Linked DNA regions of Danio rerio. The protein of the gene in region 2 purifies or fractionates together with the protein of the main gene of each other region. This does not show direct contact. Links are inferred from orthologs where the notes say so. Each region holds a gene or a part of one and is shown on either strand. Other genes may lie near its edges.

Evidence for each region. The genes of interacting proteins can lie anywhere in the genome.
Region 1: the proteins of castor1 (region 2) and wdr59 purify together in Homo sapiens (affinity purification with mass spectrometry; 3 studies listed by BioGRID and IntAct, counting the BioPlex papers as one, with this or other methods). This does not show direct contact. The link is inferred for Danio rerio from reciprocal best matches to the Homo sapiens genes CASTOR1 and WDR59.

What each region holds. Positions count from the first base shown.
Region 1 is NC_133193.1:7,039,724-7,043,241, reverse strand, and holds part of wdr59 (GATOR2 complex protein WDR59), read right to left. Parts: intron 2,497-3,518; coding exon 2,380-2,496; intron 2,290-2,379; coding exon 2,212-2,289; intron 1,393-2,211; coding exon 1,236-1,392; intron 23-1,235; coding exon 1-22. UniProt on the Homo sapiens protein: As a component of the GATOR2 complex, functions as an activator of the amino acid-sensing branch of the mTORC1 signaling pathway. The GATOR2 complex indirectly activates mTORC1 through the inhibition of the GATOR1 subcomplex.
Region 2 is NC_133180.1:12,719,076-12,722,593, forward strand, and holds part of castor1 (cytosolic arginine sensor for mTORC1 subunit 1), read right to left. Parts: intron 1,408-3,518; coding exon 1,297-1,407; intron 276-1,296; coding exon 193-275; intron 1-192. UniProt on the Homo sapiens protein: Functions as an intracellular arginine sensor within the amino acid-sensing branch of the TORC1 signaling pathway. As a homodimer or a heterodimer with CASTOR2, binds and inhibits the GATOR subcomplex GATOR2 and thereby mTORC1.

The DNA of each region.
Region 1 (3,518 bases), on a different chromosome or scaffold from region 2:
ACCAGCTGGCAGTCTTTGGACCCTAAGATATATATGAACAGTGCACAAATACAATTATATTTTTGCTATGAAAGTGAAAATGAAGCATTTATTGCCAGAATTATCTCCATTATAGATGAAAGCAATTAATTGACTATTGAGTAATTGCTAAACTTTATTAAGGATTGATTATAGCACATGGACATCAATTATTGATCATTGTTTTGAGGCAGATACAGCTTATGCACAAAAGACGGACAGCAGAAAAAAAATTATAGTTAAAGTTGGTATGCATGATTTATTAAAAACTCTCCAGTTCTATGGTCACAGACACAAAATATTGGTTTATTAATTTTCCTTCGGCTCAGTCCACTACTTATTAGGAGTTGCCACAGTGGAATGAACCACCAACTATTCCAGCAGATGTTTTACGCAGTGGATACCATTCCAGCTGCAACCCAGTACTGGGAAACACCCATACACATTCACACACAGATGTGATGTAGTCAATTTAGTCAAAAATTCACGGTAACAATTTAGTATAACTATTTCGTTATAACTAGTTAATAGTCCATTAATAAACTGTTAGTTAGTGAGTTATAAATGACTTGTTATATAAGTCAATAGTTTGTTAATTATTTATAACTGTGCCTTATAAATAGCCAATATATAACTTACAAGCTGTTAGTTAACAAGCTTTAAATGACTTTGTAACAGTTTTTTAATGTTATAACTATACCTAATTAATAAGTAATAGATCATAAACAAGCTGTTAGTAAATTACTTACTAAAGACTTGTTCAGTATCAGTTATTAGTGTATATATGTTATAGGGCGTTATTCTAAAGTTGCAACTATTCTTTATTTATTAACTGTAAGTAAATGAGGAATAGTTGCATCTTTAGAATAACGTCCCAATAACATACATAAACTGATAACTAACACTTAACTAATATATTAACTCACACTTTACAGATCAGTTGTTCATAGTTTCTTTATTTTTTTTAGTGTTTTTTTAGAGAGAGAAAAGTGTTTCTACTGGTGGTTTGTCAAGCCCACTCACTTGTGTAAAGCGCATTTCATAAATGCATAACGTTTTGAGGTTGTCATGTGATGTGGTGGGAGGAGAGAAGAGGCAGTTTTGGTTTTGATGACAAGGGTTCAGACTAATAATTGTCAATTCAAACACAAAATCAATCTGGGGATTTTGTGGTAAATAACATTCCTTAATTTCCTTCGACTGCCAGCTCTGCTCACCTTCTTTCTGCGGCCTCCACTGAAACTCATACACAACATCGTCATGGCCCACAAACGCATGAACAGGGCTGTTCAGCTCCAGTGTGCTCCACAGGAGGAGGCTGTTCTCACGCCGAAGCTGAGGAACCATCACTGTAACCAGCCCATTTGAGAAAGGCTAGACAGAAGAAAAGGAGAGGATGCAGTGAGTACTTTACAACATGCAGATTCTCCATTATTTGAATTACTAATTTTCATTTTTCCATCTCTTATATTAACAGCGTAAATACAAATAAAAATATAAACTTTAAAAATTCACTAATGAGCAGCACGGTGATTTAGTGGTTAGCACTGTCACCTCACAGCAAGAAGGTTGCTTGTTCCAGTGGCAGCCAGGCCAGTTGGCATTTCTGTGTTGAGTTTGCATGTTCTCCCTGGTTTCCTCCGGGTGTTCCCCACATTTCAAAAGATATGTGGTAAAGGTGAATTGGATTAACTAATTTGACCATAGTGTGTGTGTGTGAATGTGAGTGTGTATAAGTGTTTCCTAGTACTAGGTTGCGGCTGGAAGGACTGGATAAGCTACACAGCGGATGCCCTTCCAGCTGCAACCCAGTACTGGAAAACACCCATACACACTCATACACTAGTCAATTTAGCTTATTCAATTCACCTATAGAGCGTGTTTGGACTGTGGGGGAAACTAGAGCACCCACACCAACATGGGGAGAACATGCAAACTCCACACAGAAAAGCCAACTGGCCTAGCCAGGACTCGAACCAGCGACCTTTTTGCTGTAAGGCGACTGCTAACTACTGAGCCAATGTGCCACCCATTTTTCCATATTGTTTTTATTGTATTTTTGAGACTAAAACAAAAATACGTAATCATTTTAAACATTTGCCTGATAGAGATCATCACAACAGAAACAAACAAAGTATTTAAAATGAAAATATCAAGAAAAATATATATTTAAACTGCATATTTAAACTTTACCGTGTATCTGGCCTTCCACACAGGCACCTGACAGGATAAGATATCAAGGTACTTCCGGGGTTGTCTGTAATCCCAGAACTTTTGAGATAAATCAGTATAAAAACAGAATCAGCAAAACTGCAGCTAAAACTATTTAAGAATATGATCAATAATTATGATTATACTCACCCGAACAGAGTTGTCCTGACTTGAAGTAGCCAGGATGTACTCATTATCAGGGTGCCAGTCCAGACCGTTAATCTTTGACAGGTGGGCAGCGACGTACTCGACTGCAGTGTTCGATTTCTGAAATGGAATACAGTAGAATAGAATAAATGTTTTATTTCCATTGAAACTTGTGGGAAGTCCAACAAAAAACAGTGGCGTAGCGCAAACTGTGTGGGCCCACCTATAGACATACAAAGTTGAAGCAGGGCTCAACAATAAGGACTGCCCGATGGCCCGGGGCCAGCATGAGAGATGTTCGGGACAGTAAAGAGAATCGTTACTGGCCCGATCAGGCCAGTGCTGCCTTGTCATCAAATTTTTATTTGCCTGCTACTGTCAATTGTATGCAAATACAGTCTTAGAACTGAGAAACAATTTGTGCTTTTAAGTCTCAGAATGCTACGTTTTCTGTAAAGTCGTGAACCCCATATTGCTTTTTGGTTCCTTTTATCTGATTGGTTGTTGTTAGCACGTTAATTTTTTCACAACCTGGTAAAAACCAGAACAGTGAAGAGACGACAACATCAAATTATGCGGCTAAAAGAAAACGTCTGTTTCCAACGTTGTGGAAAAAGATATTTACATGGGTACAACACATCGAAAAAAATGAAGTGATGTTTTGCATAATTTTCCATCACTTTTAAGTCCGCCACTTTTTGTTTAGCAATAAAATACCTGCACATTTTCCATACTGCTGTATTTTACTGCTAAATATTTTAACATTTTAAAAATATTTAAATTCTAGATTCAACGACATTATTTTTGACACATTATTTAAAATATGTGGCTAAAAAAATAGCTATTTTTTATTTATTTATTTTGGTGGGGCCAGTGAAAATTTTGGCAGGGCCAGTAAAAATCTGAACTGCTGGTCCAGTCGGGCCAGTAGAAAATGTCCTTAGCGTTGAACCCTGTGAAGTCAGAATTATTAGCCGCCCTGAATTATTAGCCCCCTGTTTAATTTACTTGTGATATTCTGTCATGCGGCTGAGCGAAAAGGGGCAGGATAAAACAAGCTTATTAGACGAGTTTGGCCACCCCTGTTTTATAAAGTCATTACCCTAAAAGTGTGATCTTTTAATGCAGCATGTAAATGTGTA
Region 2 (3,518 bases):
GTTTGACAAAAGCAGACAAAATCATGAAAATGTACAACCACCAGAGTGAGTGTAAAGTAAACGACAATTTCATTTTTGGGTAAGCTATCCCTTTAAGTGAAACTATTTTTAAATGATGACATATGTTGCCTTTGAATGTAGAACAGAAATAAATGAATAAATAAATAAAAAGAAAAAAACAATGTATCTCACCGAATCCAAGAGGCTGCCCTCCTATTCTCACCATTCTCCAGAGCTCACCAGAGGAGCTGGTGAACAGAAGATCAGCTGGGAATCTGACACACAGACACACACAATTAGGCATGGGACAAAAACCATTTTTAAGGTATACCGTGGATAAGAAAAGTCAAGTTTTTAAAACCGCCAAAAAAATTTTTTAATAACTTTTCTAAGGTATGTGTAAGATTTTTTATCTACATTTTTTAGGACAACATCTCCAGCAGAAAAGATATCCAAAGATGCCATTTTAAAGTGTAAAGAAAGCTGTGTTTTTGAAACAAATAAGAACAGCAGAAGTCAATGATTCATTTTCATTATTCAGCCTGACATGTTTACTGCCCCAAAGTATTTTAAGTGTTTCTCAAAAAAAAAATATATATATATATTGTGTTCAAAAGGGGAAAAAGTTTATAATTTTAACCCAGACATTTAAAAAGAATATGTTTTAGAGCAGTATTCACAATACCGTCAAACCGTGAAACCATTATATTTTTATCCAAGGTTATCATACTGTCAGAATCTTCAACCGAGCCATGCCTACACACAATTATATATTTCTCAGACTGAATAGTGAAACATATAATGCTTTGATAATCTGTTGGTGGCTCTGTGAGGATCATACTGTTTTTTGTCCATTCATTTGTTTGATTTTGTGTGTGTGTGTGTGTGTGTGTGTGTACGTGTGTGCGTTTTAACTACTTATCAGCAGCATTGGCTATATTCTTGGCAACAGTGTTAATAAATGTTTAATAAATATTTTACACAACAGAAGATTTTCTTTAACATCCACTATAGAAAAAATTACAAAAGTACAAATGACAACAAAACTAATAAAAGCCAATACAAGAACTTTCAATTTAGTCAGTCATGCATATTCTAAAATTGCTCCAGAAGACACTTTTTCAAATACAAGTATTAAATCTTAATATATCCATACACATATAATAATGTTTTTTAGTCAAATTATTTTTTATGACCAATTGGTTTCTCTTGTCCAGTCAAGAAATATGAGTGGGCGGGTCTTTGAGTGGTAAATCTTGTTTTTACAACCTGGCTGTGTCTATGTGAAGGTCTTACTGTCTCTGTGCGTCTGTGTCCATCACTAAAGACACATATCCGTCAATCAGAGAGAAAGAGAAGAACTTGATGCACTCCATGTCTTGGTCAACACTGGCGCCCTCTTTAGGACTGCAGAAGAAAAACAGAAAGAAAAAAGACAGATGAAAACAGATTGCACGTACCATGATCTAAACCAGAGATGCCCAAAGTAGGGCCTGTGGGCCAAAGTTGGCCTATTGTAACCTTTTATTTGGCCCACCATGCCATCCCAAGAGAGTGAGAAGGATGTAAAGGATTTGGGTGAATGCCTTTAAAAGAGATCATCATTTTTAATTTGACGAAACCTTTTTTTGTTTGTTTTATTGTTTGATGAATGTATCCGCTTGTTAAGTGATGACGTGTTGGTGACGTATGTATACTGTTTCCGGGTCCAAGCCGCCATTCATCTGAGTGGAGAAATCATTCGTTTATGATCACGTTTTATTCCTATCACACATTAAAAGTTAATTTTATATAAAATCATAGTGTACACAACAATCTCTGGGCTTGCTGCATCACAAATACCAAAAATTTAACAATATATAAAAAAAATTATTACTTTCTGGCCATTGGATATTAGGCATGGACATATATACTGTAATCGTGATTTTCGAAAGCATTAAATCACTTTGTAAACATTTATTATTACCATTTCATGAGTCTCCCCATTCAGTTGAATAAAGCGCTTGGACCCGGAAGCCGCTTCGCGTGACGTCACACTTAACAAGCGGATTGTAAACGTTTCACTTAAATGTTGTAAATAAGTCAGATTTTAAAAAATGTAAATAACGTCACTCGATGGATTATGCAGACGACATCAGTAAGCAAATCAAGCGTAACTCCATTCTGTTATAAATGTAATAGTTTTTACTGTAATAAGTTTATTAAAAATTTAATGCAATAAAAATATGCTGCATTAGTTAATATAAAGCAATGTTTTCTAGCTATTTTTAAATATTATTAAATAAATAAGGAAATTACCTATGGCAACTGCTGAATGTTTACCTTCAGCCCACTGGCCTTAATCAAGTTTGGTTTTTGGCCCTTCATAAGAAAAGTTTGGGCACCCCTGATCAACACACACACACACATTAACTGACTTTGTGGTTTCTTTGAATATGTCTGCATTTATCATTTAAAATAAAAAGTTTTTCATATATTTGTATACCTTTTTAATTTCGGTGTTTCATCTTAGGTCATAGAAAGTAGGTACTCTTTTGTGACCATTTAACCCTCTGGGGTCGAAGACCGCGTATGTGCGTTTTGACCTGTGGTGGCGTCAAACTGCTGAAATGAACTTAAATAACACTTTCAGTTTTGATCGTACAGATAAGATCAATACATCAATTGAATCTGTTATGTGTCTACTTTTTGTTGTGTACACTCACAACAACAACAAACGTCTTTGCTTTTGCAAAATAAGGAAAACAAACAGTGTACGCATTCTGTCTTTTCTCTCTCCGTGATCTGCTTTTAGAAACGCGTCGGTAAAATGCACTAAAACTCCACAAATACAAAACACAAAGAGATGAGAAATGTGCACAAATGTTCTCTGTGTGTTTCGTGGCCTTGTTTCAGTGACTTCAAAATTTTAGTTTTTCACTAACCACGCATAAACGTTTCTTTCTCAAAAACACAAACACATACAAACATGCTGCTTCGGTATTATTGTAGCCCAACTTGTGCTGTTTACAGTGTTATCACACTTTAGCCATTTATATGTTTTTAAGATACTGAAAACAACACAGATGTCAGTGCATGTCAAAACTTCTCCAGAGCCCCAAAACACCCTCAGACCCCAGAGGGTTAAATGAATTCAATAAAATTAAATTTTACACAACAAAAGCAATCAAATGCAGACTACCTCTGTAAGTAGTCAAAAGAGGACAGGATCAAAACATTTTCAGACGCCTTTTCCTTTATTATTCCTTATTCTCTCTCCATTGAAGAAGATATTTTGAAGAAGTTTGGTCCTGTTACTAGAGACTTCTATAGTGTTTGTTTTTCCTACTATACAAGTTAAGAGTTTTCAGCTTTCTTCAAAATATCTTCTTTTGCAATCAAATGCTGAAAAAACTCAAAGTTTTGGGTGAACTACTGTATCACAAAATTTTAAAAGCAGAAAAGTTGTGCAATCACTTTCAATGTATGAAAGTGATTTAATTCAAAAAACCTCTTGCTGGCAGTAAATGACAGCGCTG